Neurospora crassa OR74A: one gene and its partner. The protein of the gene in region 1 interacts with the protein of each later gene in a pairwise test. Links are inferred from orthologs where the notes say so. Each region holds a gene or a part of one and is shown on either strand. Other genes may lie near its edges.

Region 1 (6,542 bases):
AAGCTCCGAATGACCAATTTTCAAACCAGGAATCTACAAAACCAAGAGGTCACAGATAACAACGTAGATAGCCAAGAGGTGGAACACCAAGAAGTCTTAGAGTAGGAAGTCAAAGACCGGGAGGTTGAAGATCAGGAAACTCAAAAGCCATGAAACTGAAAAGCCAAGCGCCTTGGAGAATGATACCAAGCCAACACGAAGAACCTGGCCGGAGCGTTAAGGAGGGCCGGTTGGATTTGGAGGGTTGGAGTCGAGTGTTCCTCAAAATAGTCCCCAAAACTCTGTACTTTAACCTGCCCAGTAGTCTTCAAGCAATAATAGAAGCATTTTCATTGCACTGGAATGAGACAATCTCCGAACCGGCCAGAATAGTTTCAGTTTAGAGCCTGCTTGGCTTTGGAATGCCACCCCCCCCCCCCCCCCCCCCCCCCCAACTGGTAAGGACACTCACAACTACAGCCTCGACTGGACATCTGGCCTTCTCCTCCGTTTGACTAATTACGAATACGCTAACATTATTGTTCAATCATCATCATCTGTCCTCGATAAAGTCTGGGGTATCGCTACTGTATACACTAGAACCTTGATCCATTCCATCCTGAGAACACCTCACATTCATCATCAATACAGCCACAAGGAAGAATCACATTTGCTCAGGCACTTGCTTCATGCATATGCTTCCCATTCCGTGTGCCTCGAACTGAAAATCAGTCCATTCAGATGAGGACTTTGTAATCCGTCAGAATGTATGTATGTACAGTAGTACTTTTCCCCAACCTTCCCACGACATGCGTTCATTGCCTCCCAGTGGATCACCGTTTTTGTTGTTTTCTCTTTCGCTAAAGCCGTTTCTTCATAACGACCACACAGTAACTGACATACATCTTCTCTCCTTGTATCATTCACACCATGCACCGAGCTTGATTGTGCGCAGAATCCGATATCTGGAGAGAGCAGCAGCAATAGAACAGTAATGATAAATTCCGTGCCGAACCGTGGGGGGGGGTAAACAATGAGAAACCGCAACCTAACCATACCTTTGAGGCCCTCTGCACGGAGGAACATGAAATAAAGAGATACCTCTACGCCTCTCTCCCTGATTTCCCTTGACACCTGGCGCCACCGCAAAGAAAAGTTTGAGCGTGTAAATAAGGAGCAGTGCAAAACAAAAACCTGCCATGCCGGAAAGATGAAGGAAAAACAAAAGCCAGCCCGTCGGCGCGGACCAGGTGATTAACCCTCGCCGTGTTTCCTAGAGCCGGTTCCCTGTGCATCAAGCAGGTAATAGGATGCTTTTTTTTTTGAGAGAGAGAATAGGAAAATTGGACGAACGCGGTCTCCATTGGGTTCAGAGACAAAAGGCATACCGTCATCTATAACTTCATGATATGTCGTCAAGCGCTAGCGAGATCCAACCGCATCGTAGCCTCTTTTGAGAACATTGTATGGGCCAGAACCCAAATGCTAGCCCGTGAACGCAGCTGCACCCAAACAAGCTTAAGGCAGCTGGTCAACGGGGCGGTCCTTGAGCTTGTCAAGTGGGATCTCGGCGTCAACAACGCCATAGAGAACAGCGTTCTTCTTGGCCCACTGCCGAGTAAGGATGGAGGCTGAGAAGATGTCAGAATAAGATTACGAGACAAGCAAGGCCGGTTGTTTGACATACCTTTGAGGAACTTCTTGCTGCCATACTTCTTGAAGAATGCTTCATGAATAACGGGACGGGCCAGATAGTCAACCATGAGATGGAATACAGGCTCGATCTCCTCCTCGGTATAGCCAGCATAGTAGGCGATAGTCTTGTCCTGTTATTATGAGTATTAGCCACAGGATGATATGGCGAGTATTATAAATCCATCTGTATAACTTACCCATTCTCCGCGGCCAAGGATCAATCGTGCCAAGTACATAGCAGCAGCAGCGACATGGCTGGGACGGTAAGGCATGAAGCGATGGTCCAGCAAGCTGATCTCCATCAGGTACTTGCCAAGGGTACGGGATTGAATATCGTAGTTGTCTGCCTTGGAGATGCGGCGGAGAAAGTTCATAGGGTTGGGGTAGCTAAGGTCGTAGTTGAGGGTCGATAGAATGAAACGCTCAGCACTGAGGATCTCAGCTTCAGTAAAGCCGTCATCTGCAACGTGGCGAAAGTTGGCAATATGGGGGGAGAGGACCTCCTCGTACTTGGAGGCAACAAACATTGCAGTGATACCCACGAGCTGAAGACGATCGAGCTGGACGACCTTTTCGCTCAAAAAACGATCGATGATGTTAACGGCAAGGAACAGCGTCTCGGGCAGCAGATGAAACCGAGTATGAACTTCAATGAGCCAGTCGATGAGAATGCCACGAGTCTTCCACTCGAGGTCGTCCTGGTGGCTCATGTACTGAGGGTTCGGCACTGATTTGCACTCGAGGTCGCGGAGGTACTCGAAAATTTCCGTCGCATACTCGGCAACCATAAGAGGATCCTCGAGGTCTTCAGTGTCAAGGTCCTTAACACCTGGCGGATACACTGACTGAACAGGGACGACATCGCGGACGACGGGAGCGGGGGGCTCGGCCATCGGCTTCACAGCCTTGGAGGGAGCATCGTTCTCCTTGGCCTCAGTCCTGGAAACCTTCTTCTTCTCGGGCTCTTCGACGTGGATCTTCTTGCGGGCCGGTTCATTTTCAACAGGTGCTGATTCCTTGATAGGGGCGAGCTTGGATGTGGACGGAGGAGGCTTGCGCTTGGCGGGAATGGTGCCAGCACCAGCACTGGGGCCGACCGTCTTGTTGGGCTCTTTGTTGGATAACGCACGGCGGGCAGTAGTCGCAGTACGGCTCGTAGCAGTTGTGGTCTTCTTCTGGATGCCACTCGGCTGGGCCGCCTTCGAAACTAGGCCGGGCTTCGCAATCGCTTTCTTCGTTCCCGCAACTTCAACCTTGGTGACATTGCTGACGTCGCCCAGTGCATTCCGCTTACCGACAGTGCGAGCGGCAGTGGCGGCGGTGGTTGTCGAAATCGTCGTCTTTTTGGTCTGCATGGTTTTCGCGGGCATGGACAATTCGTCGACATGGAGAGTGGCCGCCTTGGCCCTCGTCATACGTGTCGTGGTTGCTGTACTGTTCTCGTCATTTTCGTTCGCGAGTGAACGCGGGTTCCTCGTCCGCTGCAGGGTTGGGGTTGAGTTAGTACAAACATAGCATGGCTGTGGACAACCAATTGCATGATTGAACGACAATGCCAACTGTGCAGTAAAACTTACAAGATTCGGCATTCTCGCCTAAACCTATGCTGGCACAGAAATTGATGTGAAATGTGTCTACTGACGGGGAGGTCAGCTAGCTATTTGGATGTTTCGTTTTTGGCGAAGTTCGAGGTGGAGAGACTGGTTCTTATTGAAAGACCGATCCCTGTCACGGAGGGAGGGTTGACGCGAACGACGAGCGAACGACGAGGGAATTGTGAACACGGACAGTCAATGAGACTAGACGCACCGACTACAGAGCCCAAAGATGTCGGGAAGAATGAACACCGGCGGTCGGCAGTGATGTCGCTGTCGGCACGTTGTTGAAGCCGGAGATCAACCCTGGGTCCCGCAACAGAAGGTTGGCTGAGACCGTGAAGGATGTGCTGTTGTTGATCGGGAATGTTGCCCAATTGGTGACGACGGTCGGGGCAAAGCACGCAATGGCGACGTCCGGAAAGATTGACTGATCGAGGCCAAGGGTTGCCGTCGTGATGGCAAGGCCTTGCGAGTCCAGGTGATGCGGAGTGGGAATGCTAGTTGGCGGACGGGAAAGGGAGGTATGATGTTTACGAGGCAGAGAAGAATGGGAGTCTTGTTTTTGCGAGGTCTTGGTGGAGGTGCCAGTGCCAGTGCAGCCCAGTGGATGGGGCTGGAGTGCCAGTGGACGGAGCGGGCGTGTGGACACCCACCCAGGTACCGGATCGGACGTGCTGGGACTGGGGCAAAGTACCTCTAGTGCCCTTCGAGGTCACTAGTGCAGCGAGGCTTTGAAGCTTTGAAGTCCAAGACACCGGAAAGGGAACAAAATTACCACAACAAGTGATGACGCGCCGTGCAATATGGGCTTCTGTCAGACGCACGTCTTGCTGTTCCCTGCCTTGCTAAGTTGTCGAATGATGAGGATGCCGTTGTCGAATAAGCAAGTCGAAAAGGTTGTACTGCCGAAGAAATGCAGGCTTCAATGGCCGGAGTCGAAAGTTGCTGTTGTTGCTGTAGCTGAAAGTCGATTGTCGTGCGTCCAGGGAAATGGTTGTTAGTCGGATGGTGAGTGTCGAGTTGCAGAATCCGGAGTCGAGAAAGCGGCCAGGAAATTGTACTTGGGCCGGGCGCTGTTATGGAGCACTGCAAGCAGAAGGGACAAAGAAGGGTCGCACCTCAAACACGCAGTGAAGGAACTGAAGGCGGCAAGGCCACCACAGGCCACGTCCCTCCCTTGCTGTCATCCGCCCGCCGTCAGGGCAACACTGGCAACCGCAGGGCAATTCGGTCAAATCAGCTTCTGATTGGTTTAAACTGTCCAACAGGCTGCGCGTGTCCAGCAGCTGTCAACACTAAGGTACCTTACCTATCCTGGGTCAGACGCGACTGGAACCTTGGGCGGGCAGGAATGGAGCACGATGCACGCTCTTTCCCCGCGCCGCACTGCACCTTCACGCGGTGATGACTTGGTGCCTTCCTCCCGCGCCCGCGTTTTGGAGCGCTGTTTGCAGCACTTGTCCCCTGGAAAGAAACAAGGCTCTTCACCAAAGGGCAGTGGCTGCACCACACAAGCCACACTATTAGCAGCCACAATCGTCAGGGATCGCAAACCAATGCACGGCTGTGATTGGCGCATCAGCCGAGCAATTTTCCACAAGCAGTTATCGACGACAAGCCGGCGACGAGAACCTCGACGAGCAGCCTGCGAGGACGTCGCATTCCGGTTGCTGGAAATCGCAGCAACTGTCCCCTCCAGCACCCTCACCTCCCCAGAGCTCACCGCCAGGAGCTTGGGATATCCGACAGCGATCGAGCAGCCATGCTGCAGCCTCAATTCCGACCCCTCCTTGCGGGGACAGCTTCCTTTGCCCAAACCGTGCTGGGCCGCACCGTCGCCAGATGCTATGCCACCAAGGCCGCCACACAATCAGCAAGCAGCACCAGCACCAGCAACACCAGCAAAGATGCCAAAGCCAAGATCGTCACTCCCTACGTCCGGGACGCCGGCATGATGAGAACCTACAAGCCGCACACGCCCGGTATCCGTCACTTGAAGCGCCCGATCAACGACCACCTGTGGAAGGGCCGGCCGTATCTTCCTCTTACCTTTCCCAAGAAGGGTCAATCTAAGGGTGGCCGTAATCACAGTGGTCGCGTCACCGTCAGACATCGCGGTGGTGGTCACAAGCGAAGAATCCGCATGGTCGACTTTGAACGATGGATCCCCGGTCCGCACACAGTCCTGCGCATTGAGTACGATCCCGGTCGCAGCGCGCACATTGCGCTGGTGAAGGAAGAGGCCACAGGGAGGAAGAGCTATATTGTTGCGGCGGATGGTATGAGGGCTGGAGACGTTGTGCAGAGCTACCGGTCCGGTCTTCCCCAGGACCTGCTCGATTCTATGGGTGGTGTCGTTGATCCTGGTATTCTGGCTGCGAGGACATGCTGGAGAGGCAACTGCTTGCCTGTGTCCATGATTCCGGTTGGAACCCAGATCTATTGCGTTGGCTCCCGTCCGGATGGCAAGGCTGTTTTCTGCCGCAGTGCCGGAACATATGCAACCATTATTTCCAAAGAGGAGGAGACCCGTGAGGATGGTACAAAGGTTATGACGGGCAAGTTCGTCAACGTAAGACTGCAGAGCGGAGAAATCAGAAGGGTCAGCAAGGACGCTTGCGCCACCGTTGGTATTGCCAGCAACATTATGCATCACTACAGACAACTGGGCAAGGCCGGTAGAAGCCGTTGGCTCAACATTAGGCCTACTGTGAGAGGTTTGGCGATGAACGCAAGTGAGTAGACTCCCAGAACAATCCGTTTGTCAAGCGAGCAAAACCAACTAACGGCCTGGTAGATGACCATCCTCACGGTGGTGGTCGTGGTAAGTCGAAGGGTAATAGGCACCCTGTTTCTCCTTGGGGTACACCTGTAAGTCATGCCCCTTTATTTCCTTCCTTCCTCTGAACAGACGCCTTACCCTCTTTTTCTGTAGGCCAAAGGTGGTTACAAGACTCGCAGAAAGTCCAACGTCAACAAGTGGGTGGTTACCCCCCGGGTCCGCAACATGGGAGTCCGGAGGAACAAGAAGACTACATGAATAAAATAACCCACTGTGCTCAACTTGGGCTATATACCCACCATCTTGTACAATATGTAGTGAAACTTATTCATTTGCTCGCAGGCCGGCAGTTCGAGGGCTCAGTATATCACCGGAAGGATGCCATGTGTGGGTATTGGGCCCAATAACATCGTCTGTTGGAGATCTGCCGTGTTTGTCTTTGTTTTCCACTTTCAACTGAGCAACTCTACGGCGATGTGGTTCAGGGC
Region 2 (6,542 bases), on another chromosome or scaffold:
AGGAGAGTCGTCAGCTAACCTCTTCTTCCTTTCTTTTTTTTCTTTATCACCCATCCAGCACTTCGACGACCCAAAACAATACCTGGTCCACGACCCCAACAACTCTCTCCGTGCCGGTGACGTGGTCGCCATCATGCCCGGCTTTATCACTAGCAAATCCAAGCGGCACGTGGTCAAGCATATCATTGCGCCCGCCGGCACGCCGATCGAGGAGCGCCCGCCCATCCCTTCACTGGATGAGCTCTGGGACGCCAAGGACGCGGCAAAGGCGGCCAAGAAGGAGCGCAAGGTGCTGCGGGAAAAGATGCAGGCAGCTGAGGAGGCGATTGAGCTTGCTGAGAGAATGGCTCGCCACGCCGTGAGGGAGATTGCGATGCGCGAGAAGATCATCAGCTTACAAAAGGTTGATTGAGGAACGCAGTGTGGACAAGCCGAGTGACGAAGACGAGGGACCAGGATTGGAGCGAGATGCATTCCGGCATACGTCGGCTCATGCACGCCCTCACTATTTGTGTCTTTTGCTAAAGGATGGTGTTGACGTTGGGGGAGGAGAGAGAAGGGGGGGTGGTGGTGGTTGGTTATGGTCCGAGGTGTCTAGACTTGCGTCAAGGATTGTGTCGAGAAGGCATAAACAAACTTCGAGCACAAGCTGTTGGTAAATACGTGCAGGATTATCGACGTAGACACGCTGTACGATATAAAGGACAACGCTAGATGTCAGAAAAGGGATGGGAAGCATGGTGTCCGGAAGTATTCGTCAACCTCTCGGAGTGAACGACGGGCAAGGGCACAATGGATGGAAGGGTGATTATACCAATTGACACGTGGACAGCAGTGTGCGAACCAGCTTCAATCCGCGCTGAACGATTTATTTGGCCAGCAAAGCGGAATTCTACTTGGATTGCTGTGTGATGGACTGCGATCACCTCCGCCCTCTTTGCTGCCCCATATGGGTGCTTTCCGAATGCGCACCGTTACTATTTCCGCTCTGCCCGCTCCTTGCCCTGACAGCTTATAGATACCTATAGTTGTGATGCCTGTCACACTCTTTGATTTGTGTCACCGAGCAATACCCTTCTTCGAAGTGGTTTCTACAGGCTTGCCAGACCCAGACATTACCCATTCCCTGACAGCCTGAGTACCTTACTCTGATTCGTCGCCTCGTGGCCTACTCCCTCACTAACCGCCTCTTTCTCCGAAATCTCTTGCCCAATCTTCATAAAACTTCAGGTTTGCCTTGCTAACGCTAGGCCGAATGGTAGCCAGACTGGTGACGAAATCCTTTAGCTCTATTGGGCGTATTTGGTCCATGGTCGTTTGTAGTAACGCTTCACCTAAAGACCGCAAAGGACCCATGGCCGCATCTTTAGCTAACGCTGTGATATCGGATCCGGAAAATCCTGCGAGGTGCACGTGCTTAGCAAAAGGTACCTGGCGGGCAGCCCGGCCAGGGAGTTAATTGGCTGGCGAAACATTCACGAACGGGTAGCGCCACTTACCATCGGTCATATCCACAAGCTCATTGATATCCTCGTTGGTCAGTGTATGCTTTTGCTGACTGAGGAGCGTTTTGAACTGAATTGCTCTTGTATCAGCTTCGGGAAGTGGGATATACTGTCTCCTCACGAATCGTCGTCTTGCAGCCTCGTCGATAGCCCACGGGAGATTCGTGGCGGCAAGCACCAAGACTCTGTTCACATCATCATCGGTGCCGTTTTCCTTTGTTCCTGTTGCTGCAGGTTCTTTGCCGGCAGCAGCTCTCTGAAGATCACTCCATTGAATGAGGAACTCCGTCTTAATCCTCATCGTGGCCTCGTGTTCCCCAGAGCCAGATCTCTGCGACAGCAGCGAGTCAATCTCATCAACAAAAATGATGCTCGGCGACAATACCTTTGCCAGCGTAAACAGTGCCCTAACAAGTTTCTCTGATTCGCCGAGGTACTTACTTGTCAGACTACTAGCAGAGATGGAGAAGAAGGTAGATTTGGACTCCGTGGCCACTGCGCGCGCCAACATAGTCTTTCCTGTTCCCGGTGGCCCAAAAAGCAGCATGCCTCTGGCCGGCTCGCGAAGACCCCTAAATAGGTCCGGTCGGAGAAAAGGATAAACTACGGTCTCCCGAAGTGCATTTTTGGCTACCTCGAGGCCGGCTATGTCATTCCAGTGAACTTCATCACCCTGAACGACGATTTCGTTTAGAATCTGTTTTGCAGCATGTTCATCAACCCCTGGAGGAAGACGGCGCAATATCTTTGCCTTTTGCTTGTTCCACTTGGCAGCTTCTGACCTTTGTTGAGCCGCCCCATCGTTGCCTTCAGATTCTTGACTTTCGGAGTTGTGGGCCGGTGTATCGGCAACCAGGGAAACATCCCTCTGCTTCAGTATCTGTCTTAGGTGCTGTCTTGTTGTCGGCCGTCGGGGAGTTCCATATTCAGAATCCTCAGAACTTGACGAAATTGGGACTTGTTCAAGCTTTTTGCCCCTTGCCTTAGCGCTCATCCGAGGTGTATCAACATCCTGTGTCGTTGCCGATCTGCCCGACGCAGGCCTTGCCGTGCTTGTTAGGTAAGAAGTTCGGCTGATGGGCTTCCGTTGGGCCAGCGTTGGATCGGACATCTTTCTGTTCGATTTTCTGGTCGTTGTTGCGCTTCCTTTCGCAGAGTATGCAGTGTCTTCCTCATCTGTGTTCCCCGTCGCAGGCAGAGGCCTCCTCCTTGGTGTCTGTAGCGGAGCTGTTCTTAGCCGAAGTCCTTCCCCCCCTTCCAACGGCGAGCGCTCGTTGTTATCCCTCAAAGTCAATGCGTTGAGTGCACTTGATGCGGCAGCAGCGCTGATGGTGAAGGAGGATTGGCGAGTGTGTGTATGCTCATCAGAACGGCGGGGTGCCGATGATTCCGGAGTAGGCCGTGCATGAGGCGGTTTGGATTGGCTCCGAGGACGACCCATGACCAGTCGCCTGGTATGCGTGTCCCATTGCTGCTGCCGGCCTGCCAACGCTGGACTTTGACGTCGCCTTTCCACTAAGTAGGGAGAGGTTGCGGGCGGTACCGAACTCGTCTGATCAGTGGTGCCAATTCCCCCACTATTACCGCTGGCACTCCCTGACGGACTCGATCTTTCTCTTTTCCCAAGATAGCTCCAGGCAAGCGAGGCTGCCTTACTGGCACCAGGGCGTTCTGAAACCGAGGTTGGAGGTGTCTGGCGATGGCTAGTTCTCTTGTCTCCCAAACGTCCGGTCCGCAGGGTTGTGCGCATGGTATGCTTCTCGGGGCTGCGTGTCCCTGACGATGTTCCCTCCTCGAGCGAAGGCCTTGACGCCGACGGTGGTGACGGTAACACTGGTCGTGTGCATGCAAAGGGAAACTCCCCGCCTGGCGTACGCACCTCGGCAGAAGGCCCAGGTGTAGGCATGGTATGTTCTGAGATGGACCTAGACCCTACAAAGGGTCGCTTGGCGGGAGTTGGTCGGGAAAGGTCTGTATAGGTTACGGCTGGGATTGTTCCGTCACCTATCCAGCCCTTGGGGGGTTCTAAAAGGTTCGGCAACGGTGACAAACGTGACGCGGATGGTGTAGCGTCATGCTCGAGAGATTCGAGGCGCGAAAGACGCAGGGCCTCTAGAAGATCAATTCGTTCCTTGCACTGTACCTCGAGTTGCCGAAGACTGTCCACCAGCGCCTTCTCCGTCTCGGAACGTGGGGTGAAGGCTGGCAAGATTTTGTTTGCTTGCTGGTCATAGATTTGCTCGAGTGCCTGTTTCCAGCATCGCATAGCCTCATCCTCATTGCCCTAGATGACCGCGCAAGATTAGCACTTGGTTACTGACAGATGGGAGAAAAGGGTGACGATCACAGAACGTCATACTGACCTGGCCTTCGTAATAGACAGCAGTGGAGCATGTCAGGTAGCTTTCATCATATGTCTTTTGCAAAACTGAAGCGGCTGATCTGTTGCGCAGCATCGTAAGAAGTAAGACGTATACACATCACGGAATGTCTGTGTGCACTTTTCAAAAGGGCGTAGCGGACTTTCGCTCTCCAAGGGCGGCCTAGGTAGACGGGAGTGTCCGGTCAAGAACAGGATCTCAGCAGATGCTGTGGATCGGCCTGTACCCTACAGCTCTACGCGCACAGACGGCATCGCCGTTGCGAAGGATGTTGGAAAATCGGGCGGTCGCAAAACGTCCCGAAGGCAGTTGCCGAATGGAAGAACAGGTCTAACGAAGGGCCCCCAAGGAAGGCTCAGGTCCACGTTTCTTGAGGCGTAGAGGTACCAGCGCGCTTCTGTAGGCCAACCGGAATCCGGAGAGGAGACGTATTGGCGGTGCAACGGGACGTTGACGCAATCAATGTGCGTGGTTGATTCGCGACCAAGACGTGCCAACTAATTGAGTGTCTTGAGGTTAGTATCAAGGTTTTGTATACCAGGTAGGTATCCAGGATCTAAGCTTGCACACCAGTAGACCTACATATAGGATCGATGGTATCTTTGTTTAAGTGTAGTTATCGATGTTGCCTTATGAACGTTGTTGCAACCGCCTGAATGGGACCTACTAGCTCCCTAGCTGAAGACGTAGTGGGGCAATTGGGGCGGGAAGGCGGGGACCTGGCAGCCCGACAGTGGCAGGTACCCAGACCAGGCCTTTCTCGCCTTTTTCGTCTGTTTGTCTGCCTTGGCCCGTTCCACCTGTTTGTTACCTTTTGGCCTCTGGATAGTAACGAACAGGCCCAACCTGAGGGGGAGGCCGATAGCACGACTTGTATCGTTCATCTGAGCTTCCATCGGGACCATCAGCATCCCGTCAGGCGCGGCCCGAAAATGACGTTGATATGCGATATGTACCTATTCTTGGGCATCGGAAATCGGGACGGCCGAATGGGATGCCCCGCACCGCCCAATAGGTATTCAGCAGCTTCCAGATCCTCCTCGTCCGCGGCTCCGCGCTTGAGGGGACTCACAGGGCTGTCGGGATTCAAGCTCAGTCTCATCGCATGCAAGAGTGCTGTCAGTCTTGTATTTCCCTGTAAAGGTACCCAAGTTTGTCACTACTTGAGGGCCGTTTTTCAGTCATACGCCGACGACCACACCAGTGTACACGTACACACTCGACCGGGGTTCTCGGCTCCCGCTACTTCCCAAGGTTTACCTTACCCAGCAGTCCACTATGGTGAGATTTATATGAGATTGAAACTATTTTGACGAGAACATGGCAGACCTGGGTCCCGTCAGTAAAAACCATAGCTGGCTTCTCCTGCCTTCGCCGTTTCGCTCACGCTACGACAATAGCACGCGGATCTCGCTCGATGTCCTTGGGAACAGCGCCCGAAAACTTTGGGAATGTTCTTCGTCGCCGTCCTCCTCAACTCTCCTTTGCTCCTCCAATTCGTCAGCCGACAGCAACATCTCCTCCACATGTTCAAAATCCACGCAGAATCTTTCGGCTGCCTCCTCAATCACACTGCTCGCCAGCTTGGAATCCTGCAGATTCTTGAGCTTTTCCGTTGCATCAATCAGCGCCGATGGCAAGAAATCGTCCAGCTTCTGACTTGACTGTCGCAGTGCTTCAGGTTGAACCTCCTCTAGTGTCGCAACCTTTCCAACATCATCCTTCTTCCGTATGTCTAGCCCATCCAGCGCTTCAATGAGGGAATCTAAACCGGACTCGGCCCTAAACAGCTCGTACTGTGCAATAACCAACCGAGCCTTTTCCTCCTCAATTTTGGTCTGTATATCTGCAGCATATTTGCGAACAAAAGTGAAGCCGGAGAGCGTTGTCCGCGCAGCCACGAAGCAGTTGATCAGGAAGATGGATTTGGACGGCGGGGTGGCATGGTTGGCCATATTGATGCAGCCAGCCATGAATGGGTCGAATGCCTCAGCCATGATGGACGCGAACTCTGCTTCTGGATCATCACCCGATGAGCTTAGTGACGTTTCGTACGTTTTCATGATTGCCGATAGCTGTTCCAACGCATCCGTAAGGAAGTCGGGAGGCCGAAGGTCTGGTGGAGTGTGCTGGAACTCAGTTTGGAGAGTGGCGACGTGGTCCCGAGCCAGAGATCGGAATTGGCGCAATGCTTCCGTTTCGAGGGTACCCATCGCTTCAACGAGAATCGACGCCGGGCCCACCAACCTGGAGAAGGTGCTCTTATAAAAGTTGATGAGGTTCGCAAGTTTGAAGGCCAGAATGGTCTCCTCGTTCGTCTGAATAACCTGTTCGACCCTCTGTCGCAATATGCGGACTGCACCAGACATGTCTCTATCTACTAGTTGGTTCAGGGCCACGACAGGATCGAAGATATTCATTTCCTCCCCATCCTCGGCCACGAGCCGCCAGACTTCAGCCTCTCTGCCCACCTGGATGCCTTTGGCGATCTCGTCACCCTCGGATATGAACAAGACTTCGAGTGCCTCTCTTTCGCCCACTGCGGCCGAGTGAGACCAGGCGAGCATGTCCCCCACATATCTCAAGGGGTCATGTGCTACTAGCTCAATGGGCTTAACCGAAGGGTCCTCCAGTCCAGCAGCCGAGCTGCCTGTCA

Evidence for each region.
Region 2: the proteins of NCU02758 (region 1) and NCU02420 interact in a two-hybrid assay, tested with the Schizosaccharomyces pombe proteins (2 studies listed by BioGRID). The link is inferred for Neurospora crassa OR74A from reciprocal best matches to the Schizosaccharomyces pombe genes cdc13 and spg4.

Annotation. Positions count from the first base shown.
Region 1 is NC_026501.1:3,456,056-3,462,597, reverse strand, and holds NCU02758 (G2/mitotic-specific cyclin-B), read right to left. Parts: upstream 3,632-6,542; 5' UTR 3,264-3,631; coding exon 3,252-3,263; intron 3,156-3,251; coding exon 1,872-3,155; intron 1,806-1,871; coding exon 1,667-1,805; intron 1,611-1,666; coding exon 1,498-1,610; 3' UTR 1,310-1,497; downstream 1-1,309. Other genes in the region: NCU16375 (hypothetical protein), read right to left, coding at 667-1,065; NCU02757 (mitochondrial 54S ribosomal protein RML2), read left to right, coding at 5,035-6,007, 6,070-6,143, 6,208-6,312.
Region 2 is NC_026507.1:2,554,215-2,560,756, reverse strand, and holds NCU02420 (AAA family ATPase), read right to left. Parts: upstream 4,733-6,542; 5' UTR 4,469-4,732; intron 4,460-4,468; exon of another isoform or gene 4,384-4,459; 5' UTR 3,962-4,383; coding exon 3,869-3,961; intron 3,790-3,868; coding exon 1,500-3,789; intron 1,401-1,499; coding exon 1,180-1,400; 3' UTR 805-1,179; downstream 1-804. Other genes in the region: NCU02419 (mitochondrial 37S ribosomal protein S17), read left to right, coding at 59-412; NCU02421 (hypothetical protein), read right to left, coding at 5,275-6,542.